Oryzias latipes: one gene and its partners. The protein of the gene in region 3 interacts with the protein of the main gene of each other region in a biochemical or structural test. Links are inferred from orthologs where the notes say so. Each region holds a gene or a part of one and is shown on either strand. Other genes may lie near its edges.

Region 1 (3,652 bases), on a different chromosome or scaffold from region 3:
GCTCCGCCCACTTCAATAAAGTTCAGAAAGTTGAACCTCAAAATAAGAGATTTCGCACAACCTTTTAGTAAATTCAGCCCTTTTTTCTTTCTCTGTCTTTTTTTTTTAATGGGAAGTTGCTCCTTTTTGGAACCAGCCTCCAGTGGTCTTTTGAGGAGGTTTAGCATTAACCTCTAGAACAGAAGGTGCTGGCTACACCTTATCCCTTTAAGCTTTTTTGGATGTTTACATTAAACTAATCAGGAGTTTGGTGTAAATCCGCTTAAAAATATTTTAAATTAAGCAAATGAAGCAATTAAATGACTGAAAATTAAGGTTATTGCCAATTATTTCATCTTATTTAATGTAATTAGCTTTCAAACCTTTAATCTCCTTTGCCTCTTAATAGCATTCAGTAGCGGGTTTTTCCAAATGGTTTTGGACCACCACAGACTTTTATTTTGCTCCATGACCAAATAGTCCTAACTAGACAGCCTGGAAATTCCCAAAAATAATCTCACAAGTCCCTAAATCTAAAGTACTAAAACATCCTCACACAAGCTTGGAAAGGTTTTTTATGACTGAAGGTTCCTTTATTTTTGTTAAACAAATTGAAAGCAGCATTGATTGAAGTGTCTCAATGGTTTGCTTAATTATGCATAAATAATTCTTAAACTTTGATCCAAAGAACAATCACCTTAAAGGCATTTAGCTAAAATCCTGAAAATTGCACAGACTGTTATTTAACCCTTGTGCTATCCTAGGCACTTTTACCTTGGGAGTTGGGTCATCTAGACCCACTAGACCACATGTGTCAAACTCAAGGCCCGGGAGCCAAATCTGGCCCTCCATGTCATTTTATGTGGCCCGCAAGACCATAAAAGTTTTTAATTTCTTAAGATAAAAAATAAAAATTAGTGTGTATTTATTCATATCTGGGGGGAATTAAACTTGAAACATCAGATTGGGGAATTATACATTAGAACTTACACACTGTCAATCTAACCTAACTTGACAGAATCAAATGTAAAAGGATTTATGCTAGAGTAACAAGCAAACATATGTTTTCTATGCAACTGGAACTGTCACTTTAAAAAGTGATAATAAATAAATGATGAGTTATTTAACATCAAGGAGTAGTTACATTTATTTTTCAGTTATATCTGGCCCTTTGAGGACAACCACTATGCTGATGTGGCCCTCAGTGAAAATGAGTTTGACACCCCCGCACTAGACAGTGGGCTGAACCTTTTTTTCTTAAATGATTTGGTGTCCATGGATTACATGAAATCTTTCCACCTTTATTCACCTTTGTCATGGTAGGAATAACATGTCAATGTAAGGGTGGGGTCATCTAAGATAGCACAAGGGTGAAATCATCATAACATGATCGATGTGCTGTTAATATCCCTGGAAACAAACTTTGATTTTACTCATGTTTTGATGCCAATAATTTTCATCCAATCAGGATTTTCATACGAATTGTCAAAAAGCCAAAAAATCCAATTTATATTAAGCCACCTAGAATTCATTTGAGCCTAAAAAAAAAAACATAAAAACTCACAAAGAAAGTATTTCATCTCAAATTCTTAAACTAAACAAGCTTATCAAAGTCAATTTCTGGTTGGAAGCTCGCCAACCCCTCCTACCTCTGAGGCAGCAGGCGTTCTGACAGAAGATATCCAGTCTGATGGATACTTTTGTCGTAGTCTCCGAACCTGGCCTGAACGGAGTAGGACGCCAGCAGCACGGCTGTCTCTGGGGGACAGTAGACCTCATCGGAGAGGATGGTCTCCTTCACCTGCATGAAGAAGAGCTTCTGCGTGATGTCCTGGATCAGCTCCTCGGCAACATCCTCTGGGAAGAACTTTGCAAGAAACCTAAACTGAAGCGGGTTCTCCTTTTTAATTTCTTGTGCCGTCACCTGTAAAGAATGTATTACAGTATTAGAGAAATCGGCTTACAGGTGGAAGTTAGAAACCATATCATCATGCATGCATTTTTCCTTTCATCTTCAAAGCTAATTTCCCTGAGAGAAATCTACCCAGGTTTGCTAATCCTGAAGACCTGGTTTACAGAAACCAGGTCTTCAGTTTACATAACAGAAAGCCAATAGCCTGGTTACTTATGCTCATGTAAACACACGATACTGAGACCTTGAGAAAAAGAGACGCATATTTGGAAATATTTAAAATAATTATGATCAACTTTAGAACAATTAACTATTTTAACAGATTCCAGTTAGAATACAGAACCAGGCATTTTGAATTTAGGTCAATTAGGAATATTTTGGGTCAAGTATGAGCTTATGAGCAACACCATATCGGCACACAATCTTAGCGCGCCAAGCATAAAGCCAAGCTCACATCGCCCTCGGCAACACCCATCAAGCAGCTACTTCCAAAGATATGTCTATGCTAGTGCGAATAAACGTGTTTCTGGATTCCGTGCTGAAAACCCTCCTGTTCACACGTAGCTACGCAAGTTTCTAAGACAGTTTTTGGGCTCCACATAAAAAGGAGGGAATTTCTTTCATATGTCGGAATAGAGCTGTGAAAGAAAAAGTCAGGAGCATGATTTGTGAGATTTGAGTTTTCGTATTGAGCTTTTCCAACTGTAGGCGGCAGAAAAGCACTAGTAAACAGTAGAACAGAAGAAGAAAAAGGCCCTCCCTGTGCGTCCACCGTGAATACCATGGACTAACAGCATGGACTAAAGAATGCGTGTCACATGCCCAGTGTCCCTACCTTCACACTCGTTGTTTCAATTGCTAAAATATTTGCATAATTTAGGAGAATCAAGCAGGGGTTCAACAAGTTCTGCCATCAGCTCATAATATGAGTCCTTTAAACCAGCTGCTATACTGGAAATGCAAAAAAATAAAATAAAATAGACGCACACCAATGCTGTAGCTACTCATCGACTTCAAGTCAAATAAGATCTCTGATTAAGGAGTTCCTTGAAATCGAGACAGTCTTTATCACTCTCGGTTTTCTGAGGACAAACATGAACTCTGTATGCGCATTCATGAAATGAGCAGGAAATATGCACCAACGTTTAAAGAGTAAACATTCATAATGTTGCACCTAATAAACTTCTGAAACATTGGGAGGTATTTTACAAACTAATGCCGACTTATTCTTCCTGATCATGACGTTAAAAGGTTTCTTACTTTTTTCTCCAGCTTTAGCCAGGTGCTGTATCCTTTGGTGTCCACGTACTGCAGCCCAAAGTACCAGATTTCCCTTAAACCAACAGTTTTCACCACCTGCAAAGTGAAAAAGAAAAGTGTGCACTTCTTATTAAATTATGTGGCGCAGTATGAAACTTTTAGAGAGGAATTGGCTTATCTAACCCAATAACTACATGTTTGAATAGTCTTTTAGGACTTCATCTACTCTTAAAAAGGGCAGGACATCACAACCTATTTGAAGACATCTCACCAAGACAAATTCTACTGGTTCCACTGGCAGCTTTATTTACCTAACAAGGGAAAAACATCCTATATTTCAAATCTTTTTATGTCTTTGCTTACAGCTGCAGCAGCTCCAAAAGGCTCCGACAATGTGAGTCTATTGTTTCAGAAGTGAAGGCGGGGGGTGATAATGTATAATGAGGGAGTTCTTGCATGACTGGCATCCAGACTGCAGGAAGACGCGGTGAAAGTCGGAGA
Region 2 (4,436 bases), on a different chromosome or scaffold from region 3:
TTTGGAAACTTGATAGTGGTTCACAAGCATCCAGGACAATAGAAGTCCTGAGCAAAGCTACTATACCACAGAAATGTGGGTCGGTGGGTCACAAGGATGAAAACCAAAGTCGGAGCGGCAGACGAAAGATGGGGAAAGACGAGTTGACTGCACTTCCTGTGGAAGATTTTGAATAAAGTGTTCTCCCTACACTGAAGAGAAGAAGGACCGGACTCTGTGGTCCAAAATCCTCCTTCTGACTAAAAGTAGAAGTTGTAGTGAAGATGGAAATCAACGTCTGTTTTATCTGGAGGTAAAGTTGGTGAAACTCAGGATTCAAACTTGTAGAAAATCTGGTTTCTCTCTATTAAACTTTTGGATTTCATCAAGTCCTTCACTGACTATTATACACCAACTCTGAAGAAAATGGTTTTTTCTTTGGTGTTTTTAACATTTTTCTCATGATGGAGGACATGGCTAGCGGCTGGGTAGCTCAGTTGGTAAGGTAGGAATCCAGGGTTCAATTCCCGGAGGGGAATAAACAATGGTACTGGGGGCAATTACCATATCAATGGCGAGCTATCAACAACATCACCCAGTGAGGGCCCTTGGGCAAGACCCTTAATGCTGCTGCCTCCCGAGCGCGGCTCGTCTGCAGCTCAACGCTCCCCCAGGGGATGGGTCAAATGCGGAGAACAAATGTCACACACCTAGGTGTGTGACAGAAAGTGGGACTTTAAAATAGATAAAGAAAATTTTGGTTCAGAATTGCATTTCTGATTATTTTTTATTCAAATCTTTGTAAATCAGGAGCCGACAAAAAAAAGCTGTTTGAAAAAGAGCTTCTATGTGATGTAGAAAATATGTTGGGTGGGCCATAAGCTCCCTGCTTTGCCCTGCAACGGGGAGGGGATTGTGGTTGCTCCACGCCAACGGTGCCGCCCACAACTCAGAGGCGAATTTCTAATTAACTTCTGCTGCTCTGCAGAAAATATGTCCTAGAAAGCGAAACTTGTTTACATTATTTTGGCTAAAAACAGCATAATCATGATTAAAATTGCACTGGGAACATTTAAAAATCAGAAGATGATGGAAGTGGGACTCAAAGGATGCCTCCATACTGTAAGCTCTGATGACCCTGACTTAAACAGGAATTTGAACTTGTCCTGTCAGGAAACAACTTCACTGATCTACTTTCTGCTCTTGATTGATAGTAAGACTCAATCCCCTAATCTAAATTTGATTTATACAGAGGTATTTAGAAAATTGTAAATTAATATAATTTATAAAAAGATGGAAGAAATACATCATGTCTGAATCGAAAACATTGCCAAAGCAGCCAGAATGCTGAATTATGTGCCACATAAACAGACTGTAATGTTCATGTAACAACAAAATTCATTAATCTTTTAATGAATACACATCAACACAATTCAGTTTAGTCTGTTTAGTTTAGTTTAGCCATCAGCTGTTGTATTTTATAACTTTTTAAATTTTTTGTACAATTAGTGAAGCCCGTTGAGACAACTGTGATGTAATTTTGGCCTATATAAATGAAACTAAATTGAATGTATTAACACACTCTTAAAACACTTGGGTTATTTCTTCTACCCAAATCTTTGGGTTATTCATGTTGAGATATATTTTTAAGGTTACTTTTGTGTTGTATTGGTTTTATTTGAGCAAAATCTATTAGTTCTTCATCTGCGATTTTTTTTAACTGCGTTAAAATAACTAAAGCCAAAGTGTCAGAGTTTGATCCAAAACAACCCATCTTAGATTATTTATAATCATGGAGATTTTAGTGTTGACTTTGCAATAAGATGACTTCTAACTCTAGAAGTAGATTTCCATGAGCAGAGTTAAGTCATCCTGGGCCAACCAACGACCTCTCTGCTTACAAACCTTTCAAGTCTCTCTGACAGCGTGTCTGCCAGATCAAACGATGGAGCCTTGTACACATCTGTCAGCTCCAACTTTTTGTTGAGGCCCCTCCTCAGCAGTGGAGTGATCCACCTGTACAAAAGCCACACATTAGACGGGCAGCTCACACACGCGCTTTCGGAACTCTGGGACTTCGAGGTCTCCGTTAGGATTCGAATGATTCCTAATGTTGTGAAAGGATAACTTGACAAGGAAAAATAAAACTTCCAGACACGAAGTGTGAGAGGGTTTTGGTCGAGAAGCTTCGAAAATGCTCCTTGTGCTCCGTGCACTCTGGGGGCGCAAGAAGAGCGCACGAACCCCTCAGTTAGGGGGTTAGGGGGCTCAACGCGTCAAAGCAGCGAGTGTCTCAGGTCTGAAGGAGCACATTTAAACACATTTTACATTATATTAATAATGAATCGCCGATGCCTGAGTCTGCTTTTAAAAAAAGGAGTGTAAAATTACATGTGGGGAATTTCTTTAATAACGTGCGCATTTCACTCTCAGATCCACCTGTATTGCAGTAATAAATCACATGACTGAACCAGAGAGTCTGCTGACGGTTCAAAACACAGAGCATAGGTTAAACTTTTTAAGCTAAAGTTAGTCTGGATTCTCTTGTCTCCAAATGATCGCCAACGCTCCCTTATATCAGCAGCAAAATGCGCATCATGCCATCCTCACACAACCCAAAGCACTGGCGGGCGCGCGCTCACACAGACACACATACTGACTAAACATGTCTCACCAAAACAGGAATCTGGAGACAAAGTTGGCATCTTCCACCGGTGATTTCTGCATCCTAACTGCGCCAGTTTGCGTTCTCCGCACCTGAGGGTCTCTGCTCAACGCTCACATCTGTTCACGGCACGGCACTGGTCCGACAGACACCTCTCCTCCTAGATCTTTCACTGTTTGTCTGCGCTAAAAACGTGCGCAAAAACGCACGGCTGTCTCCTCTTCTCAGCGCGAACGTGCGCTCTCCCTGCAGGTCAGCCTCCTGTTGGCTCGCCCTGCCTGTCGTTTAGCCAGAGTGACAGAGAGATATAGAGGACAAAACGTCCATCCCACTTTCTCAAAGCATCCGGAGGTCCTTCATTGTCTCTCATGTGGCTTTAAAGGCAACAGCTCCACACAAATGACAAGATCAAGACAAAAACTCACGACCAAAGATTATTTTCCTCACTTTTAAGTTTAACTTTTGAATTTACATATTTAAAACCCTTATTTTGTATTATATATATAAATCCAGGGTAAATCTTTCAAGAAAAAAACATCAATTGTCAAGTCAGAACTTTAGGAAATATACTATAAGCTCATTTCAGTCTAACAGTCATTTAAAACATGTATATTTGAAATCATCAGTATTGTCCCTGAAGCAGCCACTGAAAAGGAATACAAGATGATAACCAGAATGTGTGTGTGTGTGTGTGTGTGTGTGTGTGTGTGTGTGTGTGTGGGTGTGTGTGTGTGTGTGTGTGTGTGTGTGTGTGGGTGTGTGTGTGGGTGTGTGTGTGTGTGAGTTTGGTGGGGGGTTTTAGTGGAGACAAAACCACCATAAAAACACTGGACAACAGACAGCAGAGTCACTGGAGATGTTCAGGGTCTCCTTCAGTCTTTCCACATCCAAGACCATACAGCAAAAAAATGTTAGTACTTGGTAGTTTTTGTAAACAAGCTTCATTACAATTTAAAGTTTGAAATCTGGTCTGGACATTTGAAGGACTGCTTCCCTTCAAAATAAAAGCAGGGAGCAGAAATCTGACAGAGAGAGTGAGAATCTTTGCTGAGTCAAACCGGTCAGTGAATGACAATCGCCTCCTAAAGTCCACATCTTTGCACGCATTTGAGAACGTGACATGTTGGGAGTGAGACCCCTCTGAGTCAGTAGTTCAAGTCTCTCAGAGACTCTCTTGAGTTGCCTCTCACTGTCCACTCCTGGTTTTACTCTGCTCAGCTGCCTTTCAGTGAATCACAAAATAGCAGAAACAGTTCCGGCACATCTAAACGTACTGATAAAGTGAAACATGTTATCAGTTTAAGGTTGCACACAGTTTCAGGGGAGGGAGGACTAAAACCTCAAAACATTCCTCAGAGGAACAGAGATCCAGTGTCAAAAGCAAGTTGTTGCAGATCTTTTCTGAGCCTGGAGTGCATGGAGGACGGCGTTTCCTCTGCAGCATCAGAGCCAGAGAACAATCCAGAAATCACAACTGTAGCTTTCTGCATCACACAGAAACGCTAATACTGATTCAAAGAAAATATATTATACAAAATACTAGACATACTGGAGAGGATTTGGTTTCTGTGTTACTTCAAAACAAAGGAGGTACTAAACCGACATCTCAATCTGGAGTTAGATGTGTGTGTGTTTTGGGGTAGATCTGGACTGATCAGGTCTATGTCTAAAACCTAAAGGAGTCCAGCATTCCTTTCATTTTCAGTCAGTGTTTAAATGAAACTTTACAACCTTCATTGGCATCACAAAAACTCCCTCTAGTAGTAAAAAGGCAACACAAAGCTTTTCGGCT
Region 3 (3,652 bases):
TCCGTCTGTCATAAGTGCGTGCAACTTACATTATCCTCACCATATATATTTACCACACGCACGACAATGGTACGTTCCATCTTCAGGTGGCCGTACGAGCCTCATGGGAACTGCAAGACACACCTGCGCTCCCTTCAAGATGTAGCGGCTCCTCTCTGTGACCCTGAACAGACCCGAACAACCCAAAAAGAGAACGGCAGCAGGCCTGCATGGGTGTGTGACTGAGGCCTAAAGCAGAGAGATGGAATTATTATTATTGTTGTTTTAGGAAACAAAGCCTGATTATTGCAAAAGTCTCCTCTCTGATTCCATCTGCATCCTATGAATTACTGATTGGGGTCGCGGCCTCAGGACCCCCCCCCCCCCCACGCCCTGGTTCAAAGTTCAGGTGAAGGAACAAGCCCGTGTCAGCCCGTGTGCACGTTTGTGCGGTGCTCTCATGACTCAGCTGTGTTAAAACATGTCACACGTTATCAGCACAGCAGCCTCCTCTTGCTGGAAAAATTACTGGATCATTTTCTGATAATGGTTCCTTTTTTAGGGTTTGTTCATTCATCTGCTCTTAATCATTTATGGTGAGCGGGTTAAACATTACGGGGAGCTGTCCCAGGCGTGACACCGTGGTGCTGTCGCAGCACTGCCGCTGTGATGAAGGTGGTAATCTGGTTCCACCGGAGTTTACAGGTTTACTACTGGATCTGTGGGGCTTAAGGGAAAACCTCTTTTATTGGGACTTGCTGCAGATCCTGAGTTGTTGGTTTGAACTTCCAAACAGGGTTCAAGTGAGGAGAATCCAAACCTGTGCAGCGGTTTAACTCCCACTTCTCCGCCTGCTGTGTTTCTGTGCAATGACTGAATGATTATATATTTTTTTTGGTTCAAACTCTTCTAAAATGGTAGAAAAGAATGATTTCTTTAGATAAAACAGCTTTTTCAGATTCCCCTAGTCCTCTTTTATTTGACAGAGTTTAACCGCTGCTCCGTCTGCAGGTGAACGGCGTGCCGGTGGCGGGGATGCAGCACTCCGAGGTGGTGGCCGCCATCAAAGCCGGAGGAGACGAGACCCGGCTGCTGGTGGTCGACGCGGAAACAGAAGAGTTCTTCAAGAAGTGCAACGTCACGCCCACCGAGGAGCACGTCACGGGTGAGCAGAAGATCTGAGAAAAGACCTCGGCGACGGGGAGACTCGACTCAAGCCGCCATGTTTCCTCTTCTCCTGCAGGAGCGCTTCCGGAAGCAGAGTCCAGGAGAGAATCAGAGGAGGAGGTGAATACACGCACGCACACACGCACACACAAATGCGCACTTGTGCCTAAAGCGCGTGAATGAACAAAAACGTGTGCAAACGCACACACACACCAACACACACACAGGCATAAAAACACTTGTGCAAAAATACGTTCATAAACAAATACGTGAAAAACTCATGTCCACATGCACAAACACACACAAGTACACACATGCACAAACACAGGCATGAACAAACGCCCTTAAATACATGCTCCTGCAAAAACATGCATGCACAAAGAGACGTGAACAGAGAAGCAGGATGCTGATTGTTTGAACTATAACTTTACTAAGCCAAACTAAACTGACGTTTAGCTGCTTTAAATCTGCTTTTTGACTTTGAATCTGTTGCTGCATTCATTAGCAGTTTTGCAGCTTTCAGAAAAGATGAGTTTGTCAAGCCCTGCAGAAGGGGGAGGGGCTTAGACGGGAGGCTGGAGTCATTAGGAAAAACTGATCTGATTGCAAAAATGAGACTTTAATACGACTTTTACCACCGTGTCATCTCAGTTTGTAGCAAACACAAAAGCATTGCATGCTTTGAGTGCTGCCCTCTAGTGCCAACAGAGCGCCAAAGCAAGTGCCTGTTTGCTGAACGCTTTAAGCTCTCTCGGGCTGTCTGGACATGAGACATGTTGGAAACGTGATGTCCACAGATGAATGTTCACCTCAGCTGCATTTTGAAGGCAGTTCTTGGATCTCCTCCTTTCACTGAAAGACGTCTCCTCCTGCACCAAATGTGAGCAATGCTCCTCTGAAGGGGAACCTGCACAAAGGCTGAGGGGCAAACAAGCAGCCAGTGAACTGTCAGCTGACCCCTCACCATAGAAACCCCCACACACACACACACACACACACACACACACACACACACACACACACACACACACACACACACACACACACACACACACACACACACACACACACACACACACACACACACACACTCTTTCAGAGCAGTGTGTCCTGGAGGATGATGCGATTGCTGCAGCTTTGATTCAGGGATTATGTTAATGAGCTGCTAATGAAGGCCGTTCTCATACTTTCACATGCAGGCGGGGTCACTGAACCACAGTGGCAGAGCGGCCCCCACTCCTGCGGGGGTTTCATGATTGTCTTTGTTTGACTGTCCCAGTGGACCTTCAGCGGAGCAGCTTGTCCATGAGGACAGCACAGGTCTGTGGGGGCCTCCGGGGTCAGACTAGAGTCCACGCTGCTTTGAGGGGGCTGATTAGAGCAGGATCTGCTGCCCCCTGCTGGACTTCACCAGCATTCCCAACGTTCTTAGTCAAATGGGGGCTCGGTCACCGCTGTGGGAACTTCAGGAAACTCCAGGGAGCTCCAGTTTTAGGGACTGCGATCCTTCCACCAATAAAACCTATTTAAGGTTGTTTTTGACCAAAACATCTTCTTCAGAGTTCTCCTAAAACTCCTTTAACCCTTGTGCTGTCTTGTAGGGTCAAGATGACCCCACTCCCAGCGTTAACATGCCTCCACATTAACATTGGGAGTTGGGTCATCTAGACCCACTAGACAGTGCTCTGAACCTTTTTTCTTCAATGATTTGTGAACCTCACTGGTGTCCATGGATTACATGAAATCTTTCCACCTTTATCCACCTTTGTCATGGTAGGGAGAACACCTCAATGGAAGGGGGGGGGTCATCTGGACCCCACAAGACGGGCCAAAAGTGCATATTTTAACCCTATATAACCATTCTTTTTGTATTTGCTCCACACACATTTTCCTTTACAATGATGATATTGTTTTTAAAAGTTTCTGGTCATTTAGATTCTACCATTTATATGATTGATAGATTTTCCTAATTGATTCAAAAGGAAATTCTATCGTTCTGCAGGTCAGAGCATCACCAACACAACTACACAAAATAAAAAGGACAACACTTTAACTCCTGCCTTTTTAATCTGTAGAAACATTTAATTTCAACTAAAAACATGTTTTCTTCAATACTATTTCAATACTTTATTCATGTATTTTATTGGAAAATAGTTCAAGGTCAGTCTAATCATATTCTTGATCATATTTGTAAAGTCAGACTCTCCAGTTTTTACTTCGCTCTGTCGTCAAAAAGCCACATGTGAGTCTCCCCCAGCTGCAGGAGCCTTTAGACCAGGGGGGGGGTCCAACTCATTTTCACTGGGGGCCACATCAGCATAGCGGCTGTCCTCAAAGGGCCAGATATAACTTATACATGTAACTAAATGTAATGCATCTACTCCATAATGTTAAATAACTCATTATTTATTTACTATAACTTTTTAAAGTGACAATTCCAGTTGCATAGAAACATGTTTGCTTGTTACTTTAGCATAAATCCTTTTACATTTTGTCCCCTTTTTAA

Evidence for each region.
Region 1: the proteins of Na(+)/H(+) exchange regulatory cofactor NHE-RF1 (region 3) and ezrin form a complex in vitro, tested with the Homo sapiens proteins (2 studies listed by BioGRID and IntAct). The link is inferred for Oryzias latipes from reciprocal best matches to the Homo sapiens genes NHERF1 and EZR.
Region 2: the proteins of Na(+)/H(+) exchange regulatory cofactor NHE-RF1 (region 3) and cftr form a complex in vitro, tested with the Homo sapiens proteins (9 studies listed by BioGRID and IntAct, with this or other methods). The link is inferred for Oryzias latipes from reciprocal best matches to the Homo sapiens genes NHERF1 and CFTR.

Annotation. Positions count from the first base shown.
Region 1 is NC_019882.2:6,193,207-6,196,858, forward strand, and holds part of ezrin, read right to left. Parts: intron 3,248-3,652; coding exon 3,152-3,247; intron 1,904-3,151; coding exon 1,629-1,903; intron 1-1,628. UniProt on the Homo sapiens protein: Probably involved in connections of major cytoskeletal structures to the plasma membrane. In epithelial cells, required for the formation of microvilli and membrane ruffles on the apical pole. Along with PLEKHG6, required for normal macropinocytosis.
Region 2 is NC_019864.2:3,306,238-3,310,673, reverse strand, and holds the start of cftr (cystic fibrosis transmembrane conductance regulator), read right to left. Parts: upstream 2,923-4,436; 5' UTR 2,707-2,922; coding exon 2,654-2,706; intron 1,996-2,653; coding exon 1,885-1,995; intron 1-1,884. UniProt on the Homo sapiens protein: Epithelial ion channel that plays an important role in the regulation of epithelial ion and water transport and fluid homeostasis. Mediates the transport of chloride ions across the cell membrane.
Region 3 is NC_019877.2:24,308,981-24,312,632, reverse strand, and holds part of Na(+)/H(+) exchange regulatory cofactor NHE-RF1, read left to right. Parts: intron 1-990; coding exon 991-1,144; intron 1,145-1,222; coding exon 1,223-1,266; intron 1,267-3,652. UniProt on the Homo sapiens protein: Scaffold protein that connects plasma membrane proteins with members of the ezrin/moesin/radixin family and thereby helps to link them to the actin cytoskeleton and to regulate their surface expression. Necessary for recycling of internalized ADRB2.